Kluyveromyces lactis: one gene and its partners. The main gene of each other region encodes a partner of the protein of the gene in region 3 in a complex. Links are inferred from orthologs where the notes say so. Each region holds a gene or a part of one and is shown on either strand. Other genes may lie near its edges. The genes, in order: YNG2, PDP3, EAF6, SAS3, EAF1 and EPL1.

The links.
Region 1: the proteins of EAF6 (region 3) and YNG2 are in contact, whole or in part, in a crystal structure (PDB 5J9T), measured with the Saccharomyces cerevisiae proteins. The link is inferred for Kluyveromyces lactis from reciprocal best matches to the Saccharomyces cerevisiae genes EAF6 and YNG2. Residues at the interface, in NP_012615.3 of Saccharomyces cerevisiae: Ile69, Ile70, Gly72, Phe73, Asp74, Asp92, Ile94, Phe95, Leu97, Ser98, Ser99, Ala100, Thr101, Lys104; in NP_011958.1 of Saccharomyces cerevisiae: Ile11, Val14, Leu17, Pro18, Phe21, Arg22, Leu25, Ile28, Gly29, Asp32, Leu33, Ile36, Lys40.
Region 2: EAF6 (region 3) and PDP3 share a complex: the UniProt entries of both Saccharomyces cerevisiae proteins name them as parts of the nuA3 histone acetyltransferase (HAT) complex. The link is inferred for Kluyveromyces lactis from reciprocal best matches to the Saccharomyces cerevisiae genes EAF6 and PDP3.
Region 4: EAF6 (region 3) and SAS3 share a complex: the UniProt entries of both Saccharomyces cerevisiae proteins name them as parts of the nuA3 histone acetyltransferase (HAT) complex. The link is inferred for Kluyveromyces lactis from reciprocal best matches to the Saccharomyces cerevisiae genes EAF6 and SAS3.
Region 5: EAF6 (region 3) and EAF1 share a complex: the UniProt entries of both Saccharomyces cerevisiae proteins name them as parts of the nuA4 histone acetyltransferase complex. The link is inferred for Kluyveromyces lactis from reciprocal best matches to the Saccharomyces cerevisiae genes EAF6 and EAF1.
Region 6: the proteins of EAF6 (region 3) and EPL1 are in contact, whole or in part, in a crystal structure (PDB 5J9U), measured with the Saccharomyces cerevisiae proteins. The link is inferred for Kluyveromyces lactis from reciprocal best matches to the Saccharomyces cerevisiae genes EAF6 and EPL1. Residues at the interface, in NP_012615.3 of Saccharomyces cerevisiae: Glu4, Leu5, Ser7, Tyr8, Leu11, Lys12, Glu14, Leu15, Lys16, Ser18, Leu19, Asp21, Arg22, Arg23, Gln25, Glu26, Thr28, Phe29, Asp30, Leu32, Gln33, Glu35, Ile36, Lys39, Glu40, Tyr43, Phe44, Tyr65, Gly67, Asn68; in NP_116629.1 of Saccharomyces cerevisiae: Arg333, Ala336, Leu337, Glu340, Leu341, Asn343, Ala344, Asp346, Leu347, Ala348, Leu350, Val351, Lys353, Arg354, Val357, Ser358, Asn360, Trp361, Asp364, Glu365, Lys367, Ile368, Gln371, Arg372, Lys374, Ile375, Leu378, Lys379, Ser381, Leu382.

The regions. Positions count from the first base shown.
Region 1 is NC_006037.1:629,953-633,436, forward strand, and holds YNG2 (histone acetyltransferase YNG2), read right to left. Parts: upstream 1,508-3,484; coding exon 620-1,507; downstream 1-619. Other genes in the region: KLLA0_A06952g (uncharacterized protein), read right to left, coding at 1-371; KLLA0_A06996g (DUF4112 domain-containing protein), read left to right, coding at 1,847-2,458; rRNA-processing protein FCF1, read right to left, coding at 2,571-3,140. UniProt on the Saccharomyces cerevisiae protein: Component of the NuA4 histone acetyltransferase complex which is involved in transcriptional activation of selected genes principally by acetylation of nucleosomal histone H4 and H2A. The NuA4 complex is also involved in DNA repair.
Region 2 is NC_006038.1:945,850-949,124, forward strand, and holds PDP3 (Pdp3p), read left to right. Parts: upstream 1-1,265; coding exon 1,266-2,279; downstream 2,280-3,275. Other genes in the region: BSP1 (Bsp1p), read left to right, coding at 1-585; KLLA0_B10824g (pyridoxal 5'-phosphate synthase), read left to right, coding at 2,744-3,275. UniProt on the Saccharomyces cerevisiae protein: Histone-binding component of the NuA3b histone acetyltransferase complex. Targets the NuA3b HAT complex via histone H3K36me3 to the coding regions of actively transcribed genes to coordinate transcription elongation.
Region 3 is NC_006041.1:567,480-570,359, reverse strand, and holds EAF6 (Eaf6p), read right to left. Parts: upstream 1,285-2,880; coding exon 937-1,284; downstream 1-936. Other genes in the region: AIM24 (Aim24p), read right to left, coding at 1-201; ARP7 (Arp7p), read left to right, coding at 1,735-2,880. UniProt on the Saccharomyces cerevisiae protein: Component of the NuA4 histone acetyltransferase complex which is involved in transcriptional activation of selected genes principally by acetylation of nucleosomal histone H4 and H2A. The NuA4 complex is also involved in DNA repair.
Region 4 is NC_006041.1:1,770,563-1,775,005, forward strand, and holds SAS3 (histone acetyltransferase), read left to right. Parts: upstream 1-1,215; coding exon 1,216-3,414; downstream 3,415-4,443. Other genes in the region: KLLA0_E19889g (NAD(P)-dependent alcohol dehydrogenase), read left to right, coding at 1-599; KLLA0_E19933g (SANT/Myb-like DNA-binding domain-containing protein), read right to left, coding at 3,972-4,443. UniProt on the Saccharomyces cerevisiae protein: Catalytic component of the NuA3 histone acetyltransferase complex, that acetylates H3K14. The NuA3 HAT complex has 2 functionally distinct forms.
Region 5 is NC_006041.1:1,912,873-1,917,506, forward strand, and holds EAF1 (Eaf1p), read left to right. Parts: upstream 1-1,376; coding exon 1,377-4,394; downstream 4,395-4,634. Other genes in the region: protein-transporting protein BCP1, read left to right, coding at 59-877; KLLA0_E21473g (uncharacterized protein), read right to left, coding at 4,510-4,634. UniProt on the Saccharomyces cerevisiae protein: Component of the NuA4 histone acetyltransferase complex which is involved in transcriptional activation of selected genes principally by acetylation of nucleosomal histone H4 and H2A. The NuA4 complex is also involved in DNA repair.
Region 6 is NC_006042.1:2,337,215-2,341,758, forward strand, and holds EPL1 (Epl1p), read right to left. Parts: upstream 3,418-4,544; coding exon 997-3,417; downstream 1-996. Other genes in the region: BST1 (Bst1p), read right to left, coding at 1-667; BUD27 (prefoldin-like protein), read left to right, coding at 4,172-4,544.

The DNA of each region.
Region 1 (3,484 bases), on a different chromosome or scaffold from region 3:
GATACGTTGCTTGGTTCTGATACCCTCGAGGGCAATGACACCGTCCGACTTAAGGGTTCTCCGTCCTCATCGTACTCATCTATATCTTCCAAAACTTCGTCTAAATCGTCGTAAACAGACGGTTCTCTAACACTGCTTCCAAAATCCTCATCCAAAGTGTGATAACTACCTTGCTCATCTGGATGCAACCCTCGCCTCAACCCACGATGTCTGCGTTTCCTTAAATACTTCCGTAATAACGGATTCTTCTTGTCTCTGCTCACTAAATCGAACCCTAGCGAAATGCGTCTATGGTTAGTTGCAATACCAATACCATTTGTTCGAAGCTTCGGATGAACCTGAGACAACGTCTTTCCAAATAGTGTAGCCATGTTGCCTATTGGTGCGCTTTCAGAGACCACTATTTCGATAGCTTTCGCCTGTTTTTCTGCATCTCTTCACAAAGAGCACAAGATGTCAAAGTCGAATATAGAATAAGAATCGAATAAATGCTAATTATAATAATACATTACATGATAGAATTGAAAATATTTACATATGAGGATATATATATATATATACGAGCGGCAGGAGTGAAGAAATGTGAAGACCATGAATGGGTCATACCAACCTTCGTTGATCATTGCTTCTTCTTCTTCTTATTTAGTTTCTGATTAGCAATTTCCAGTCGACATTCTGGACAATACCACTGACCCTTTGGAGGTTCCGTTAAGTTGACACAACTGTAATGGAACCATTCGTATTTACAGTTTGGACCATCGCACGCCACCATCTCACCGTATGATACTCTTTGGCAGAAACAGTACAACTGCTTGTCGTCTTCTTCGCCGCCTTGGTTCATCTTGAACAAATCATCGTTATATGCCAAAGCATCGAAAGTCGGATCTCTACCGATACCAGCGTTAGGACTCACGTCACGAGACACTGTTCCTGCACGCTGATGAGACCTAGATCTCTCTTTCTTCTGCTGTTTTCTCTTCTGTCCTTTCCCGTTCGCTGATGATGAAGAGGCTGGCCGTTTCCTACCAGAACTGGAACCTGATCCAGCCGTTCCGTTACCAAGGCCAGCGATTCCAGCTCCTAAATCAACAGATCCAGCCTTCTTATCCGAAAGCTCATCATCCAAGGGTGCAAGTAACCCATCTTCCTCAAGTGACTCGATGTTGGCCTTGATCTTGCTCAAATGTTTCGTTACTAGATACAATGCTGTATTGGCTAATATGCATTTCTGTTGTTGCAAATCGCCGCATCGCTTCATCTCTTTTTCTACCGTCTCAGTAATGGATCCCTCTTTAGGGTCCTTGGTCAACGAACCATGCTGTTTCACAAGTTTATGAAGCACGTAATCCTCCCGTAGGTACTGCTCTCTTGAGCTCACCAGGGTTTTATCTGCTACCTGCATTTCATCCATGATATGATGGAACTCTGATTTCAAGTTCGCAACATCCTGTGTAGCTTGCTCCAACGCACTCGAAGGGTCCTGTGGTCGTTCGTTAATGCTACTCATTCTTCCATACAGCCTTCCAAAATGCTAACTGCGCCTGCCTAGCGTTCTTTGTACAGCTTCTTCTCTTACATACGTATCTTTGCTATTTCAATGGAAAATTGTTTGCCAGATTGCTTTAAAGCTTTCCCTGGCTTTAAAGGCTTTGAAATAGAAAAAGTCATGATAAAGGGACATGGTTTGGTACTTCACAAACATGTTTCCATTAGTTTTTGGGAGTATTTATTATTCAGAAAAGCTAGTCCTGGCATATGAGCTTATTTGAACTCTGTTAAAGACCGAATTTACCACGATTATAGGCGACGACAGTTTCTTTTGTTAACTTTACCTTGAATCTAAACCATGGTGTTCTATTCATTTATTCTACGCAAGATTTCCAACAAGATATTTGGCGACATTAAGATTGGTGAGGGTGAGGATCCGTACTATGAGGAAGTTACTTTTGTGAAGAAGTCGTTTTGGACTGGAAATAGCCAAGTTGTGCATAAGAAGCTAAAGAAAGCAATTCCAGATTATGTCCCATTAAATGACAGAACAGTGTTGCAACGGGTTAGGAAAAGAGCTTACAGGCTTGATATGATGTTTAAGATATTTGGGATGAGAGTTGGATGGCTCGGTATCATTGGACTTTTGCCAGTGGTCGGTGACCTAATATGTTTGTACTTGTCATGGACAGTGTTCCATGAAGCACAGAAGATTCAAGGTGGTTTGCCTGTGCCCTTGCAGGCAGAGCTCTTGGGGAACATCTGTATCGATTTCCTATTAGGGTTGATTCCCATTGTTGGTGATATCGTTGGGATTGCTTATAAGGCAAATTCCAGGAACACACTTGCATTGGAACAATACTTGAGAAAGAAATACGGTGGTGAAACCATTGCCGCATCTCCTGTAGAATTAGGTTCTGTCTCCCCAGGAAGGGACCCAGACTTGGTAAAAGGCTTGAAACAGACATAAGCGAGAAGCCGTTTGTGCTAATGTACAATTATTATCCTGTTAAGAAAAGTTATATATATATATACATACTCATACCGCTATGTATAATGCTAAATCCCAGTTTTATATTATCCTAGAACACACCCGGTAGCTTCTCAATCACATAGGAGTGTCCTCCAACACTCATCAATGGGATCCCCGGCACTTTCCTCACTCTCTGCTTTAAACCAGCATCGTTCGTGGCAACAATGTAACACTTGTGCTGCAACACTCTATGAACAATACAGTCATCCGCATAAGTACCCTTATGCGAACAACTTAGCCTCTTGATTCGCGGATCACGAGCTAGCTTCAACGCTATACGATACTTGGGACCCAACTTCTCTAATTCAGCCATCACACAGTCTGTTATCAATATGTTACACTTGGCCAAAAGACAATCCATCATACCTTTCACTATGTCAATCTTCTTTTGAATAGAGAAATTGATGAAATTTGTATCGATGAGTACCTGATATGGAGGCTTGATAGCTTCATTATATTGGAAGAACAATGCACTGGATACTTGTGGAATGTTTTTAGTCAACTCAGGATCATCTTTCTTAACCTCTTTTGCCTGGTTCGATTTGAGTCTTGAATCCTTCTTTGCATTCAATGTCCGCTTCACAAGCGCAAACTTTCTGGTCTTCTTAGCCTTACCCATGACACACACTAATATTACTCTCCCTAATACCGATATCAGAATAATATCTAGCGAGGTACGGAAGTATGTATTCCTGTTTGCATCTGCCTCATCTCATCTCATCTCATTTCATCTCATCTCGTCGCTTGTTCATATTATTAAAACGTGAAAGAATAATACTAAAGGTTTTTTGAAAATTTTCAGTGAAGCACTGTGCATCTGACCAGCATAAGACAAAAAGAAAGGGAAACACAATCTGCTACATCGGATGGAGTATGGTGGTATGAGATTAGACAAGGCAAGTGAGTACTGTTTGATAGTTGCTCGATGTTTACCAGATATATAGAAACATTGGATCTTTCTCA
Region 2 (3,275 bases), on a different chromosome or scaffold from region 3:
AACGGTAAAAAGAACGGTAAAGTTGCACCAAAGAAACCTGCAAAAAAATCTGAACTTAGAAACCCTAAAGTGAGATCATCAAGACCTTCGTTACCATCTGATGACGATGCTTACAACAGCAATGATGATGACGATGACGAATATGACGAACAAAACGAATTTTTCGCTGTAAGAAAATCGCTACGTAAGACCCACACAGCACCATCTCGTCGTGATATCACTCCAGAAGCAGTTAAAGCCAAGTCTAAACTGAACAAACCTCCTTCTTCTATCAGTTCTGTAGAAGAAATACCTGAAGCGATGGCAAAGAGGCAAGCTCTTTTGAGATCCTCAACGGAATCGGAAATTGAAAAGAAATCCTCTTCATCATTAAAGAGCCTACAAAAGCATGGCTCAAAGTTCCAAAAGCAACTGATTAAAACAATCAACAGTAGTCAGGCCTCTCTATCGGCATTGGCGTCGTCAACTGCATCATCTGCAAACTCATCATCTGACGCATTGAATGCGAAGACAAAGAAAATGCTAACAAAGGTACGTTCTAAGGGTCCAAAACGTAAGCTCCCAACAGACGTCACTAAATTGTAAATACCTCCTTATTCATATTAACTCGAACCACAAACTAGTTGCACAATCCGGCAAAAACGCATTCGTCAACTGCTAATGTGCGTTCATTGATCTTGTAAAGTTACCCTTCTAAATACGTATGCCTTTAATTCCTAATTACTTATTCCATTTTCCGACCTTAAAGCTTTTTTTTTATCCAAAACAAAACAATCAATTATTTCAAATTATATTCAATATATGCTTCTTGAGCAGTTGATATGGAATTTTGATTGCCGAAGTTCCCATTCATATTTCGTCCAAACAGTCTTTCACTGGTCAGAACACACGCAGCTATTACTGTGGTGTTGTGTGTGAGAAAAGTGATTACTGGTAGCTTAAGAGTTTTGTTTTCGTTTTCATCTCAGTTCATTTAGGGAAGGAGGTCAAGTTAATTCTGTTATACGGCCTCTTCTTTCCTTTGCTATTTGTGTTGCCAGTGCGAAGTTAGAGCGTAAGATTTTAAAGCTTCTATTCTAGCGTTTAGCATTCTTTCTGTCGAAACCGTTATTTGTGTTTACCTATTGAGTGCTCAAGAAACTGAGAAAGAGAGATATCAGAGTTTACTATTTGATCTTTACGCCCTGACATTTAGGGTTTTAGTTTCCTTTCCATTATACTTACAGATTTTACCAATCCGAATACACAATCTATTTAAGCAAAATATGACAGACGGGCTTTTAGTTACTGGTGACCTGGTTCTTTGCACCGTGGGCAGTTACGAACCATGGCCAGCTGTAGTTGTTCCTCAACGGATATTGAGTAAGAGTGTGCTGAAGGCGAAGGAGAACGTTGGTCAAGTTGCTGTGGCATTTTTTAACGATTCTACCTATTATTGGACTAAACCAAAACAGTTAAAACTTCTTACTGAGGAAAATATAGAAGCGTGGATAAAATCGCCGCCCAAAAGGTCTTCGAAAGAGTTGAAGAAAGCTTACCAGTTTGCATCCGACTATACGAGTTTGCAAGAGTTTGTCGAAGACAGGTTGACAGCGGAGGGAAGAGCGGATGATTTGGAAACTATCGCTGAAGTTAAGATGGGAGAGGACCCATTACTTTCCAATATTGAGTTAAAACTGGAAGACACTAAATCTACGGATAAAAGACGGGGCAGAAGAAGAAATGAAAGCGAATCAGAGGATTCTACCTCCAATAATAACAGTAACGGAAGTACCAAAGCTAAAAAGTCGCCCAGTAGTGGAAACAAAAATAGAGACTCACCGGTATCTACACCTGTCGCAACATCTGTTTCAGATTTCAAGAAGAAGAGGGAAAGCTCATCAGAATCTCTCTCGACATCTCCTTCATTCGTACCAGAAGAACCTCCCAAGAAACGCAGTAAGCTTGACTACTCACGTAGGGTAGAGATTGCTCAAATATTCCGTAACAAATTACAGAAGTGTTTGGTTCAACGAGATACCCCACCAACAGATGCAGATCTTGCCGAGTCTGATAAACTCATGAGGAAAATCCTATCACATACTAAATCAACACCGGAATTCTTTGATTTAGAAGCCCTTAGGGTATCCAAATTGCATAAACTATTAAAAGTCATTTCTAGTATGCCTGAATTATCACAGTTTCACGAATCTTGTAACACTATATTGGAAGTGTGGGCACCTCATGTTCAAAAGATCAAAAAGGAAAAACTGAAACTGAAGGGTTCGCTATCCCCATAGAGTGGATCACAACTGTCACTTTTAATATCTTCGATTCATAATAAGAGCACAAAAGAACCGTTCAAAAGGAAAGCACAAACAATGCATTACTGCTTTATAACAAATTCAATTCAATTCTGACATTATTCTCATGTAAAATCTATCACATTAACCTACATAATCTCATCCCTACCACCTCTCCAGTTACCTCACCGTACCTATTCCTTCTTTTCTTGGACCCTTCAATCATAATGTATCATTATTTACGTTTATCGCTCTGTTCCCCATCAATTGTTATTATTAACAAAATTGCCAAAACCTTTAAAATGACTTTAAGGTAGCAAAATTGTGCACTTCATTACAAACATCAGACATCTTTCCCATAAGCTAGCACATTAGGGAACCGATATTTTAATTATATTTCCTGTAAATTTTTATTGTTTATCAAATACGCCAAGTATTACTTCAATAACTTTCAAGTTGTTATGTCCACTACCGTTGATTTGCCAGAGCATTTAGTATCTTTGCTTAAAACATCCAAATATGTTCATTTAGCCACAGCTTCTAAAGACTGCATTCCTAATGTTTCATTGATGAACTACACATATGTGCTTCCTCATAAAGCCTTTCATGAAGAAGGCTCCAATAGTCATTATGTTATCTTTGCCACATCAAAGTCTACTCAAAAGTATAAGAATATTATTGCTAACCCATCTGTATCTCTTTTGATCCATGACTGGGTCACAGCAAAAAAACTATCTCTGAGGAAAACAAGTGTATCCAATACTCCAGTGCCAGATTCTAATGATTCTGAAGAACAACCAAGTAGGTTGCTCAACCTTTTGCAAGAGTTGAATCAATCTGAACTATCACAAATGTCAGCCACGCTATCAGGTACAGCGACAGTTATTGATCCATCATCTGAAGAATCCGACTACTATGAAAAGCAACTACTAAGAGTGAATCCAGATGCTAATTGTTATATCAAAGGTGATGACAACGTGATCATCAAGGTTA
Region 3 (2,880 bases):
TGAAACTTGTATCGAGGCTAATGTCGGGTTGTCCCCCAATAGTTGGAATTGTGTAGTAGTAACATTAGATCCATCCTCTCTAGTGGTTTCAGCATGGTTATCAAACAATGGTTTCAATTCTAATTGTGATCCGCTCAACACATTGGATGGAATCACTGTTGTTGGTGACGGCCTTAAAATCGAGATAGAACGCCTCCACATATTTTTTCTTTTTTCGCTACTTTTTCTCACTAAGAGAGACAAAAACAGTTATTTGCTTCAATTGATGTCTAATCCGATTAAACGATCAACAATTGGGTACCTTTTCAAACGCTCCTAATCGACAGCAATTCACGATTCTGTCTTTGTTCTCATTGGTTTGTTTGAATGTGTAATTGCTGCTCTATCTTTTGTTATAATAATATCTAATTCTTTGAAGCTGAAAATTTCAAGGTTTTGGCAGTTTCTGAAAATTGATTGGCTGAGTGATACTCCAATTAACAATCAAGAATGGAGGTTAGAATTCATGCTAACCACACATACATACACCATTACATAGCACCTGAGTCTCATCTAAGACATTGGGACAATTCGGTTGGACTGGAAATCTGTAAACGATTCAATCCTTTGCTTCTACGAGTAGTTTGACGCAAGTTTTATTGATTAAACTGATTCTATGATCGTTGATCTGACGGATGAAAAGAAAAAGAGGCCTCTCAAAAATTAAGGGTAAGTAATTGAAAATACTTTAGGAAGAGAGAATACATAATGTTACAAAGTGATTAATTATCACGAGCATTTAAAGAGTGCTTCAAGAGAAATAGATGCGGGGTAAAATAATACCGTTTTTCTTCCCCCTCCCTTAGTTTCTCTTGTCTCTTGTCTCTTGTCTCTTGTGTCCGGTGTCCTGGACCTGGATATGTCTCAGTGAAGAGGGCAAACAGATAAGCTTCCTGTTCAATCATTGGACTTCGTTTGTTCTTGATGATTGGAAGCAGCCAATTGTTTTGCAAAAAGGTACGAACTTAATGAAAAAATGCGATCATTATCGTCCAATGGCTGGGCATTTGACGAATGTGAGTGGTCAGACAATATCTGCTGCGCAGAACTGCTCTTGTTGAAACCCTGAAACCCGAGCAGAATGTTCCCCATTCTGGAAGATGGTTTCTGTGATAGATACTCTGTTTCTTTATCGTATACCTCTTGCTCTAAACTATTCCACTTGGCTTCGAGTTGTTTCTTCTGTACTAAAGCATCTCGAAGCTTCTTCTTTAGTTTCTCGTATTCTTTCTTTTGTTCGTCCATAGTTGTGTGAGATGAGTGTTAGGTTATGTTAAATCACTTTACCGATAGAGTAGAACACAATCAAAACCAGATTCAAATCCGTTCGATAGCGGATCGTCTGTTTCATCCTTTCTTGTTATTATATATGCAAATTGGATGTTGAAGTAGTGCGTTCTTTCAAACAATATTAACATTGGCGACGAGTCCGGGTAACAGTACTGGAACTCAGTTTGGAATTTGAAATTCGAAGAACCGACGAAAAAAAAGCCAACATGTAAACATCAACATAAACAGTGTTATCAACTCTAGTATCCCGTTTAAGAGCCATAATTTTCCATTGATAGCAGTTATAATCGGCAAAAACAGGTAGCTGTTGAAGAAGTTAATCCTTATCTGCTTTTGAAAATTGAAGATCTTCTCTTTGTTCTGGTGCATATAGAGTGATTACGTTATATCTATTGCAAGTTCAAGATGCCGACCATGAAGAGTGTGGTGATACAGATCTCGCAGACTAGGGTTATTTGTGGGTTCAGCAACCAAGATTTGCCGCAGTTAATTGTACCATCTCAATATTTGGCCTATAAAAGAGATGGATCGGATGTTAAAGTTTTCGGTAAATGGGAAATGATAGAGCATTGCGACGATGAGAGCGCTGAAATATACCAATTGTACGATAAGAACGGACTTCCAAATGATTGGGATATGATGGATGCTCAATGGCAGTACATCTTTCAAAGCCTAGGCATACAGTTCGAAGACTATCCAGTATGTGTTGTCTTACCTTCCGACTTAAACAGTGCGCGTCGTAAGAGATTTATGGAACAACTGTTGGGGTACGGTTTTCCAATGGTCCAACTTTTGAATGAGGCTGTCTGCAACACGTTGAGTCAGGGAAGATCGAGTGGAATTGTGGTGGACATTGGCCACAGTGGAGTGAAAGTGGACGTTGTCATTGATGGTGTTCTTTTCAAACAATACCGCAAGGAGAACAAGATCGGTGGTGCATTCTTAAACTGGCAGATCTGCGATCAATATTTGAAGCAGGATTCGGGCAAATCAACGAAAATCTGGAGGGATGCCACTGAATGGCTACCCAACTTCAAGAATAGCATGCTGCAAGTTTCTCCGATTGAATTGGATGCTAATTATGACGTGGCTCCTCATTACCAACATATGGTGTCACCAATGGACTTGACCAAAAATTTCCTACTCGATAAGAAAACTCTCACCTTCACTAACAAACAGCTATACACCATTGGAGAACTCTTGTTCAAGCCAGTGATACACGTAAGTAACAATGCAAACGGAGATGTAGAAATGGCAGATGTCAATGACATAGAGAAAAAGCCACATCCGGAGAAATTAATTGGGGTCATTGGATTGATCAGAGCATGCATCCAAAGTTTATTAAATGGTGTCAATGCAATGTCCACCGCAGGCAGTAACACTACAGGGTCCTCCACTACGACGGGTAATGCTTCCTCGGGCAACCAAAGCAACAACAACGAGGATACGAACATCCCAACGCACAGCTACACTTCTGAACAACTACAAAGTCTACTGCTTACGAACATTCTAGTGACAGGAAGTACCTCGAACATTCAGGGTTTAGAGCAA
Region 4 (4,443 bases), about 1.2 Mb from region 3:
CCACTGTGTATTCTCCATTGAAGAGAAATGGATGTGGCCCAGGTAAGAAAGTCGGTATCGTTGGTATCGGAGGTATTGGTCACATGGGTATTCTATTAGCCAAAGCCATGGGTGCCGAAGTGTACGCCATCTCTAGATCCCATGCCAAGGAGGAAACATCCAAGCAATTGGGTGCAGACCATTACATTGCCACTGAAGATGAAGGTTGGGAAACCAAGTATTTCGATACATTGGATTTCATGGTTCTATGTGGTAACTCATTGTCGGCCGTTGATTTCGGCAAGCTACCAAAGATTTTGAAAGCTCAAGGTGTTATTGCATCCATTTCTGTCCCTGATCAGCATGAAGCCATACATTTACATCCAGCGCAACTTCTAGGATTCCAGATTACTCAATCTTGTCTAGCATCTCGTGCAGAAATCATTGAAATGTTGAACTTGGTGGCTGAAAAGAAGATCAAACTATGGGTTGAAACGGTTCCAATCAGTGAGGAAAATATCTCCACAGTGTTCAAAAGAATGGAAAGCGGTGATGTTCGTTTCAGATTCACACTAACTGACTTTGATAAACAGTTTGACCAATTCAAAGCCAAGAAATAGGCGTTGAACTGTATAAATTATATAGATGGTTGACACGTTGTTCATAGCTTAAGTCACTTATATATACATACTATGACATAAACGTCAAAATGGAAACACACATAAAATACAACCTACAATTTATACACATTGCAAGGAACGGCTTTCATAAACACCAGAGGACGGTAAGGGTACAGTAAAGTGCATGAAATGCAGTCACTGTAGCCAAGGTTACCTTTCCAGTAACCGAAAATTTCTCGAAGAAGAGCAACAAGATCATGGGAAATATTTGCTAACTGAGCTGGTATGAAAGATACAAAAAAATACAGATATCACGTGACCATCAAGAAACCGAAATTTTTGATGCAGCAGTAACATGGATCTGTATTGTTTTGCTTCATTTCATAGGAGAAAGAATGATATAGGCAACCGGTTTTTGTAAATGTAAGACCTAGATTGCTTGCTGTTAGTTTCGTTTACTATAACTCGGACTTTGTGAGTTCTTGTGAGAATGTGTTTTTAGAATAGACATTCTTCTCTTCTAAAACTAGTAAAGGTACTATCCTCTCTATTTGTTTACCTTATATTGAAAGAAGAAATAATAATTCATCAAGTGGCAGTCATCGCATATTTAAGAATGACGACTTCTAAGCGAAATAGACTGCTGAAGGAACTTCTGATTGATGATAATATACATTCCAAAGTACAGGCTGATTTATGGGACGCTGGAGATGGTGGAGTACGACGGAAACGCACCAGAGATAGACATGACAAGTCGTCGGATCATATAGGCTATAACGGTGCTGATGATTCTGGGGTGCAACCGGAGAAGAATAAGGACAAGAAACTTAAAACGATTGTTATACCATCTGATTGGAATGAGATGAACAGCCATGTGCAATTTTCAGACGATCGTAGAATTATTACTATCAGGTATAATCCGTTGAAGTTGCTTGATTTCAATCAAGTGTTGAACAGAGGCAGCGATCTCGACGTAAAAGTACCGTCAATTCCGCTAAATGGCATTGACTTTGAGATATATGAAACTGAAAATTTGTTAACATCTCTTGATAACGATGCTCAGTTCCCTTATCGTGGCGCAATTGAAAATAAGCAGGATTATACAACTCATAGGACCATTCCTCGTGTCAAAGATAGAGAGTTTTTTCTAACTTTGCTGCGTAAGTCCCAAACAGCAGCTCGTTTCAATGGTAACACACTCCTGGCATTTCCAAATGATGAAGCTCATAATCAAGATAAGAAACGGTTAAAGCCAACAGCTTTGATGCATTCTGCGAAGACAACCAACGTGGAATATGTTTATTTCCAAAATTATGAGATCAAAACTTGGTATAAGGCTCCCTACCCTGAAGAGTATAACAAGAACGAAATTATCTATATTTGCGACAAGTGTTTGAAATATATGAGTTCAAAGTATGTCTATTATAGGCATCAGTTGAAATGTGATTATATCCACCCGCCAGGAAACCAAATTTATAGAGATATGGACCAAGGGTTCGCCATTTGGGAAGTAGACGGAAGAGAGAACGTTATTTATTGTCAGAATTTATGTTTACTAGCGAAACTTTTTTTAAATTCGAAAACTTTGTATTATGACGTGGAACCCTTTATGTTTTACACCATAACAGTATGGGAGGACGAAGAATGGAAATTTGTTGGATATTTTTCTAAGGAAAAGCTAAACTCAACTGGTTATAACCTAAGTTGTATTCTTACTTTACCACATTTTCAAAGGCGCGGTATCGGACATCTACTGATGGACTTTTCATATCTCTTATCAAGAAGGGAATTTAAACTAGGCACTCCCGAGAAACCTTTGAGTGATCTTGGTTTGGTATCTTATCGAATATACTGGAAAAATAAGATGGTGCAAACGCTTAATATGTTATTTGAAGAACTGGGTGATTCATTCGCTTGTACCATAGACGACTTGTCCAATCTAACCGGTATGAATCATTCGGATGTGATATTCGGCCTGGAACAGATTGGATGTCTATACAAATACAACGATGAAGCCTCAGGTAAATGCAAATATGCAGTGAAAGTAGAAGATTGGGATATCTTGTGTCAGTTATTTGAACAGTCTAGAGCGAAAATGAAATATACTTTGGACCCTTCCAGATTTGTTTGGAAGCATGTCATTTTCGGTCCTTCGTGTGGAATCAATGCCGTTGGAACCATGGTAGAAACAAATGTTAGCCAGCAAAGAATTACGTCTGCCGCTGGTTCAACAGCTGCTGATCCATTCAAACAAAGTATATCTGTTCTAACGAATTTTATGAGTGACGATTTGGCGGATCCAAGAACGATGGAAGAAGCTGCAATGGAAAAGATTAAGCAACAAACTATTCCTGTATCCTTGTCTGATAAATCTTTAGTTCGAGCATATACACTTCCAAGCAATATCAAGGAAAAAATCATTAAGGCAAGCAAAATAAAACCTGAATTCAAACAACTCAATACGAAGCTCGGGGGGACTATTCCAGCTCTCAATGAAGGTACACCTTCTGGCGATGCTTCTGATGCCAAAACACTGATCAGCGGAGGTATGCACGATGATATAAATGGCGATGAGCAAGAAATTGAGGAAGAGTTTGAAGAGGCAGACGGTTTAGAAGATGAAGGTTTCTCGCTAGATGATGCAGAAGCTGAGGAGTATTCAGATGATGATGAAGATGATGATCAAGTGCCACCGCCTCCAGAGGAAATAGCGACTCCTAGGGTCAGTAGATCTCTAAGAAAACTCAGACAGCACAATCCCGTAGAAAATGAAGTTCAGCAAAGACCACAGAGAGTCTTACGGAATAGAGTTTGAATATTAATTAAAGGATAACCTAATCATAGTAATGCGTGGCCATGACATGTGTTTATGAGAAGAAAACTGATAATAGTGTAATATCTAATATATGCATGTATATATGTATATGATTGTAAGAATAGCGAAAATTAATGCCATCATTGATATAGCAGTAAAATGTAAATAACAAAACAACGTAATAGTACGCACTTTTCATTTAAGTGTTTATGCAAAAGGAGCAGCCCGTGTCCCTTTGCTATAATAAACTGAATAGGGACATTATTATGACAAAAAATAACCATATGGTACAGTTCAAATGATTTGGCATAAAGATAACACTGTAACAGTATTATTGATGTTCTATTGTAGTTATAGTACTTGTACAATGGGGTCATAATCAGGAAAGTGTGTGCGTTTATGTGATAGTAAATCAACGACAATGATGATTGAAGTAGCAGCGACTGGCGCCACGATACACTTCGGGGTTCATGTTCATACATGTCTGAAAGTGGTTTGTAAAGTAGTTTTTTAAGTTTTTGGTTCTTGATAATGGTATTAATACAGACAGTTTATCATCAAACAATGTGCTTGAATATCGTATTCAAACTAGGCAGTGGCTGAGTTGGCACTTGCGGTAGTCGATGGTTTTGTGGTGGTTGAGGAGATTGCGATGAATTCGGAGTGAACTGGGGCGTTTGTTCATTACTAGCCTGTGTTTGAAGAATTTGCTTCGGTACGCTGGCAGGCATCCTATTGCCATAAAAAGATGAGTTGTTCACATCAGAAATAGTTGGAGAATGGTCTCTCAAGGAATGAGCGTCCGGTGAAAACACTGGCGATCTCTCACGAGCGGAAGAACCAGTCGAAGATGTTTGAGAAAACGTAGGAGATTCATCTCTTAGCTGAGTTGGGGCAATAGAGTCTTCCATGCGGCCAACAATCTCTACATCAACATCAACATCGTCAATGTCGTCATGCTCCTCTACGGCAGTATCTGGTGAGTAAGTAGAGTGGACCTCATCTGAAGAACTCGATTGATTAACATTG
Region 5 (4,634 bases), about 1.3 Mb from region 3:
ACAATAGTTATTAGTTGGGCTTTATTAAACCAGCAACAACACTCTATTTTAGTCTGCAATGGTCCAGGTTGTTAAATTAAGTGCATTATCCAAGAAACGTGCAGTCGATGAGGAATCTGATCTTGACATATCAAGTACAGACTCAAATATTTCAGACCAAGAAAACGGTCAAGAGGAACAAGAAATCATCAACATCGATTTTGATTTCTTCAATGGTAATCCCGACGTTGATTTCCATGCTTTGAAGAATCTGATGCGTCAGTTGTTTGGACCACAGGAATCGAACAGAATTCAACTAAGTGAATTGGCAAATTTAATCTTGGACTCACCAACTACTACCATCAAAACCGATGGTAAGGAGTCTGACCCATACTGTTTCCTATCATTTATCGATTACAAGGCCAACAAAGATAGTGATTATGCCAAATATCTTCGTAAAGTTGACCCCAAGCTAGCTACTTTCCTACAAACTATAGATCAATCGGAGAAGACTTGTTCGTTAGTCTTGAGTGAAAGATTGATTAATATGCCACCAGAAGTTGTGCCGCCATTGTACACTATCACATTAGAAGATGTGAAGCTTGCGCTTGGGGATGATAAAAACTATGATTTCTACCTAATCGTTTCAAGGAAGTACGAAGTGAATTTTGATATGGACGAAGACGATCTAACATCGAACCAAGCTGTCCGCAAGAAGGTAAGACAAACAAACGAAGTAGACTATTTCCATGAAGAAGATCGTTTCCTTGAAAAGCTAGCCAAAGTCCATGTGGATTCCGAGGCGAGAAAGGGTCTTATTACATCGTACATGGTTTTGGACCATGCTGGACTAATTAAATCCATCGAAGATCTAGATGCGGCCATCAAGACCTGGTGAGTGATGTAAATGTTCAGTAGTTACATTGAGGAAGGTGATGATGGTATGTGGATTAATCCCGTTCTGGGAACCCAACAATTAACGCACGTGACCTGATCTTTAGTTACCCTCCTTACATGATTTCGGCCTCCCAAAAGAAAAAAAAATCTTTCAAGGAACAAAAAAATTGCTGAACAACATGAAATACGTACTTATATAGTAGAAATCGAGAAAACAAGCCGTAATACGGTAACAGAACAGGACCGTGAGAACACTATTCGACTCAGTTTCAAAAGTACCTGACACAGAAAAGCCTTGTTTGGTTGGACGATCCTGTTGTTTGTACAGAAGCGTGCTGTTTCCGAGACAAGCCCTCGCTAAAAGAAAAATCAGAGGACCCAGTTTCCTTTTTTTTTTTTTGGATATTTTCCTATCACTTGCCATTCAGACCGAAAGTTATATTTTTTCAACGTGACAGATATTCACAGAACATCTAATAGAAAGTAAGGATTTCAAGGCGATGAGCAGTGCAAGCAAAGGGAATGCTACTGGAAGTAAGAGCCCAGAGCAGCTCTTAGAGGAGAGACGGCACTTGCTAGTACAATTGTACTGTATCTCACAAATTACCGAGTTAAAAAACGTGGAGAATCATGAGAGAATAGGGAAGGAGATAGAAAAGTTTTTAGATCAACATACCTTGATCAAGGACAAGCCTATAGATATTAATGCATTGCCTAAGTTTAGGCCGAGAGACGTGTCGTCAGATAGGAAGCTGAATAACAGGAGTAAGAGTTCTTCACCGTCAGAAGTGAAACGAGAATTGAAGAAACAGCGGTCGAAAGACGTGTCGCCAAGTGGAAGCGAGGAACATGATGTGGATACGCAGACACTCCCGCAGTCTCAAACAAGGGTAGTTCCACGAGTTCAGTCACAGCAGTCAATTCAGCAAAGTTCAAGGCAATCTATGGTGCAAGCGCAGTCATCTCGACAGCTGCAGCAGCAACAACTGCAAAAGCAGCGATCGGTGTCTCCCACACAGAAGCTGCCGATAACACATAATAATGTTCCTCCTGTGGTAGTTCAGGCACATATGGAACCGAAATCTGTCCAATATCCGGAGACCCAATCAAAGCCAAGTACTTCTGGAAAGCGTTTGTTAGATGAGGAACAACAAGATATTTCCGAAAATCAAATAAGTAAAAGGCAACGGCTTGATAGTGGAAACCTATCTAATTCTACCGCTGCACGTAACGCTGCAACAATGGAAATTCCGCCTCATCCTTATTCTCAGATGATAGACATCTCACAATTGCATGCTGACCCAACACCAATTGGGGTGAAAGAACCTCAACCCTATATTATAGAATCTATTATCAACAATGTATCAAAGGAAGAGCGTAAGACGTTTTTCGAAGATGACATAAATGTGAAAGAGGCGGTATACATGATTACGAAAGAGAACGCGCCAACCAAGTTGGCAAAGGGTATGCCCATTCAAGAAATCAAATACTTATCCCAGACTTTGCCCTTGCTGAGATTGATACCACAATCTCAAAAAGCATTGACGACTGATCTGATTAATACTGCATTGAATGAAAGACGAATCACTGTAGTAGCATCAAGGATAGAGGAATTGAGAAGGCTGAATCTCTGGTCACTTAGACAACCAAGAAAATTTATCGATCCCGTTACCGCTTCACAACCTGTAACTCATCATAATGTGTTGATTGAAGAAGCAAAATGGATGCGTGAAGACTTCCGTGAATCGTTGAATTATAAGATAGCCATGTGCACTCAAATGGCACAGGCAGTTATGGAATTTTGGACTTATGGTAAAGTATGCTGTATCAATTGTAAAAGTATTCCACCGCCATCAAAGGACATAGAAGATATTGCTTCCTCCCAAGATATGGGAACAAAAATCAGTACAGTTGAGCCAGAACAAAAAGATAAAGAATCAAACACAAGTCCTGATCAATCCAACGATGATGGGTCTTCTAAAATTGCTGAAGATGTGGAGATGTCAGAGGATGGTGTAAAATCAAGTACCGGTTTAACTGATGGGAGTGAAGCGGTGGAAGAGAAGTCTGAAAATGGTATCAAAGAGGGGGACAAGGAAACTGATAAAAACTCATCTGAAGAGCCTACCATAGACATACAAAAGTTACTAAAGAGAGTTAACCCCAAAGATGAAATCGTCGCTCCATCTCTTCCGGTTACCTCCATGGAAGTTTATTTAGCTAAGAAATCATCCTCTCCCTTCAGGAATTACATTGATATAAAGGAATTATCAACACTGGGAGCAGCCATTTCAAACTCACTCCCTTTGTATGGTCTTTTGGACGAAAAGAATCTCGATTCTAGCAGACCATTGCCCTTTGAACCGGTTTCAAAGGCAATTTCTCCTCTTGACGAGGACCATTTCATGAAATTAGTAGAAAAGCAATTTGTTGACGAAGAACCATCTCTAGTTCCTTTATCAAAACGACGTGGTATGTTTTATGGAAATAGACGTAGCCATTATCTTCGCCCTCCTAATGCGCCATCATTACGCTATTTGAAATTTCGTACACCCACCATCTGGTTACCTGAAGATGATCAGGAGCTTGTCAAAAATATAAACCAGTATGCCTATAACTGGGACCTCATTAGTTCTCAGATGTCCAATCATCACAAAAGAGAATATGTTTCAAACATCGAACGTAGAACCCCTTGGCAATGCTTTGAGCGGTTCGTTCAACTAAACGAAAAGTTCAACATTGCAGATATGAAGGGTCCAAAGGCTCATAATGCACAAATATGGTTGTACGAAGCTCATAAATTACAGCAGCAGCAAAAAAGGAGAATATCTCCCCTTGGTGTGGGATCGGAATCCATACAACGAGGACATAGGCGTTTACGCTGGGCAAGTATGTTTGAGGCAATGAGAAAGTGCATTAAAAAAAGAGAAAACGCACCCAGACCAAATCCTTCGCAGCCGCGTAAACCTTTTGATGTTAAGAATATGAGTGTTCCAACCCCTCAAGAAATGTCAGACTTAAAAGCTCAGCGTGATGAGGCCTTGAGAAGGGATATGCAAATAAAACGTGCTGCCAAACAAAGGATGCAGATGGCTCAATTGCAGCAAGGAAAGCTTCCTCTCACTACAGCATCAAGTCCGAATTTGCCTATGGCAAATAATCCTAACTCAAAGGATTCAAGAATTAGGTCTAAGCAGTCCACTCCCCAGAGTGCACCACCACTAGGTGAAAAAGAAAAGGTTACAACTCAAACTCCCACACAGAGAAATACGAAACCGGCTAATAAACGTGAAATCATTGAAGGATATGCCAAAAAAATACTTTTTCAGAAACCCAATTTCACTCCAGAACTTGCTCTAATGGCTGCTGAAAATATTTACAGGAGCTTGCCATTGTCTGATCAACAAAGGAAAACTGTAATTTATGACAATGTTGCACAACCGAAAGTGCGTCCACCAGAGATGAAACATTCTTCTCCGACGCCTCAAGAGATTTTGCAACGTGCTCAGAAAAAGTGAATACAATTAATAATATATAATCAGTTCATAATCACAACATTGATTCAAGCAAAGAATTACGAATAATGAGTCCTTTTGTTATAATCATTATTTCAATATATATATGTATGTAAATTCAAACATTTGGGAAAGTGTAAACAGCAGATTCCTCCTTTGGTACGCCGTTGGCTTTGTAGGATACTTTCCATTTCACTCTGAGTGGCTTTGGGGCATTCTTCACTGCGTTATCAATCCAACTTT
Region 6 (4,544 bases), on a different chromosome or scaffold from region 3:
GTAGTGTAAGCATTAATCTTGCCACTATTCCTCCCATGGAATGCCCCAATAAAATGACAGATTTAGGTAGTGGGCGGTTGGATTCCTTATAGGCAGCGCTTTGAGCATACATTGACAAGATATATCGTACTGCATCGTTCAAGTATACAGCCTGATCCAGCATTGTTTGCCCATGAAAGGCAGTGAAATCCTCATTGAAATCGGCTGTGAAATAATCCATGTTCTTTGCATTGGAATTTTGAATAGTTGATTTATGGTCAAAGTATAAATTGGCACTTGCCGCAGCTATAGATCTAGCTTGTTTGAAACTTCCTGCATTGCCGGGAATAAAAAGGACAGGTATACCATCAAGCTGTATTTCATCACCATGTTTCGGCTCTTTATCTTTACCTTGTTCTCTGTATAGGTAGAGGTGGTATTTTTTGGCGAGTTTAGTGTGTCTTGAATCAAATCCATCAATTCTGGCGTACGAAGGGTACATATAGATTGATCTGCATTTAGGTGTATCTGATCCGCTGAAATTATGAGATATATGAGTGGAGGTAATAATGCATAGCAGAAGCAAGCCCACTATGATTACAAGCGTGCTTCTTTTCCTTAGTTTCTTCGTCAATGTAGGATACCTGATGCGAACAGCAGACTCAGCCGGTAAGTCAATTTGGACCATTTTAACAACTGGCTTGGTAAACCACTACCAGTATCCTAGGTATTATTCTAAATTTAGTGTTCCTAGTGAATGCACTATTCTGGGCATAGTTCATCAATCAATGCTTGCAATGGTACATAATGTTAGATGCAAGATGCCGATTTTAGATGCGTAAACCAAAAAAAAAAGAAGCTGAAGTCAGTTCAGTCACGTGATGTATAATGCAGCTCACGATGCTTAATAACATGAATTATCTATATTGTTACAGATTCGCATAAGAATGCGGAAAATACTAATTACAAGTTCATATTTATAATGGGATTTGGTGTCATCAAAAGTTTACAATTTCGTTATGCAGCAGCGTTAGGAGTAACGTGTTTCTTTGGCGGACTGGACTGATTTGGAGTTGATCCTGGATTCTTCCTAGTGTCCTGATGAGATGGTGGGGAAGAGGACTGTGAATGAGGAGCATTGTTAATGGGCTGTTGACCCTTTTGTAGCATTTGCTGTTGTTGCAGGGAATTCAGTTTCTTTCTTTTGTTGATTTGTTCCTGTCTATATTTGATGGTGGCATCTCTTAGTTGCTCGTATGCTTTGGATCCTAACATGGTTCCAAATCTTACCACCTGAGTATCGTTTGAAATTTGGTTCAACTTCGCCGGTTCGTCGGAAAACTTGGACCCGTAAATGTTGTAATTGGAATCATATTTCCAGTGATAATATGACCTGGATAAATCATCCAGTTTAGAATCATACACATTTATAACATCATTATCGAGTTCTTGCTTCTGTATTCCATCCAAATCAATAAATTGTAATAACATGTCGTTAATATTGTGATCAGTTTTTCTTTGGTCAATATATTCCATATTGAAACGACCGCGACGGCGTCTGAAAGCGATTGGAAATTCACGAGAATGAGTATGAATCTCGTTATCAAATGGATTGAAAAATTCTAACTTTTTATACTCATTGTTCTCCACAGCTTCACCTTCCTTGTTAAAAACCTTTATATCATTCGCAGTGCCAGTGATATAATTTTGAAGATTAGGTGAATAGTAGGATGTTTTTACTTCGAACTTTGAGCCAGCAACAGAAGAAAATGGAGCATCTTGGGGGCTGACGTTATCTGGTATTGAAAGGTTGAAAACAGGATTGTAAGGATCATCAGTGAGGTTGAAAAAGATGTCACCATCTTCCTGTTTCCTTTTTCTCATCCTGTCTTCAACAAATTTCCTTGTGCTTTTTTCCTTTGAATGCAACAATTTACCGACATCTTCTAACACGATATCAGGTATCTTAGAGTTAGGCAATTTAACATATACTTGAGAAGATGCCTGTTTTTGCTGTTGTTGTACATTCGAGACATTGGCAACAGGCGACTGAGCTCCAATTTCCTGCGCAGATGACAGTGATTGTTCTTTGTTTTTATTTGAACCAGTTTTTGGGCCTTTCTTCTTTGGCTCGCTTCCTTTCTCATCAGCATATAGACCACTGTCTTCTTTGTGAAGTTTCGACGATTTTGAAGATTTTGCACGTTTAACAGATGAATCTGAAGTAATGGCTGCCTGCTGCTGTTGTAGTTGCTGTTGTTGCTGCTGTTGTATCTGTAGCTGTTTTTGAAGAAGAAGTTGTTGTTGTTGTTTGATTGTACGCACCGAACTCACGAGTTTTTGTTTCTTTGCCGAGTACAAATCCTCGTTATCGGCATCTATGCCTAACTTTCTCTTCATTGTCTTCAATTGGGCTCGCGCTTGGAAGACGAACTTTTCGTTTTCTAGGACTTCTAATACTGCTCTTTCTCTTTTGGCTACAGTGAGTGCCAAATCTTTAGTATATTCCAATTGTTGGCATAGAAGTCGCAATTTTTGTGAGTTCTGAACATCTATCCGCCTTGTTTTCCTAGGTTGTCGAAGCTCTCTCCTACGGAAACACACATATGGATCATTATCGTCTTTATCATTATTACGCTCCGATTTCAATTGTGGGAAGATATCGCAACCATGACGTGATATCTTGCGTTGCTTCCAATGATCGTGTATTTTCTCTCCGAACAATTCGATAAGAGTCTCCATATTTTTTTCCCTTTTACCTAGAGGTCTTTTATTGTCAAACATTGTCAAGAATGGTTCATCTTCAGGCATCCCAATTTCCTTCGCGAGTTCCTTTTTTACGCCAGAATCACCAACATCGTTTTTCAACATGGTTGGTTTTAGGTCTGCAAATGAAAGTATACTCTCGGGATCCATGGACAGGAAGGGTTGCCTATCTTTGATGGAAGACTCAAAGTTGGCCATAATTAATTCAAACTCATCTTCCGTTAGAGGTTCGACCGAATCCGCCAGGGATTTATTTAAATCTGCCAAAAAGATTTCGTCTTCTTCATCCATATTATACAAAGTACCACAGCAATCTTCTAATTGTGCAGAAAACTGGATATAACTCGTAGGACATTTGAATTCACCTTGGTAAAATCTGTCAAACTCGTCCCAAGTTTTCGAGGCGTCTGGTGTTGGAATAAATAGATCCTTCTTGTTCTCTCGAAGCTGATTGGATTGAAGAATTTTGTATAAATGCTCTTCCTTTTCTTCATTCTTCTCCACACCAGTTTCAATCTCCATCAGCTCTCGCTGTTGATGCTGGGAACTGATGGCCGAAACATCTTCTTGTTCCAAATCCTTAATTTCATGGCTCTTATAGATCCGAAGTCGTTGCTTCACGCTGATCTTTCTGTGCCTGAACCTCGATGAATCCACTGCAGGAGCTGGCATACTGCAATGTGTCAATGCCCGTGTGTAGTTACCCTGATAGCTATGCGGCTGAAGCCAAAGAAGGATCTTTGAATTCCAGATTTCAATAGCGAGAAATATGAAAGGAAGGGTAACTACAATTATCCCTCTAAAAAATTGGTTCTTTTACGGGGGCCCAAATTTATTTTCTTCCTGTTTTCGGGGCCAAATTTTGCGAAAAACTTCACTGGCAAGCAATCGGGTGGCGGTGAAGGAGGCAGAAAACAAGGAGACCAAATCTAAAATAGGACTGAAGATAGCAGCTATTGGTACGGATTTTGCAGAACTGATGAAAGTCCTTAAGTATCACTACTGATGGTTGATTCTCAGTAGGTTTGAACGAGCCACCGGACTGTTCTGAAGCGCGTGGTTTTCCTTTTTATGTTGGTTGTTTGGGTGGAACGCAACAGTTTGTCCGGTGAATGGGGGTATTGGTTTTTTCTATATTGAAATCCGAACTTATGGAAAGAAAAAAAAATTTTTTACGTCTTCTACGGAAATATGAACGTCTCCCATAACCACCTTGGTAGACAATAGGAATTTCTGTTCACGTGACTTCCATTGGGTCAAGGTAAATGGTGATGCCAAAAATTGTATGAGCTTCTACCAAAAAGAAAAAAAAACGGAAATCAGTAACTTGACATCCGTAATGAAGTCATCTCATCGCTTGTTGAAAGAGTGAGTTATCTGAGGCAGGTAAAGAGGCTGAGAAAATCAGTCTTAGTCGTGAAACGCAATGGAAACAGCAGAAGGTGGGGCTTCTTTTGCCGAGTTAATGGATACTGTCAAAGGTACCATAGATAATTTGGTAAACAAAAGAACCTTCTTAAAGGAACAGCAGCCGTTGTATGAACAGATATTCGATAGGATAAGAGATGCTGACACGAGCGAAGATTCGGAAGAAGAATGGCAGTATGGTGAGGTAGTATTTCAGAATGGTAAGTTTTTCCAAAATATAGGTTACGATTACTATTTGGAGAAATCTAGGGAAGAATGCCTGGTTTTTATAAAGGTTCGATTGAACTTAATTGCCGAAGCCATTTCACAATTTGATGAGAAACTGAAAGAGGCACATGGCACATTGCGAAACATGGAGTTACTTCGAGACG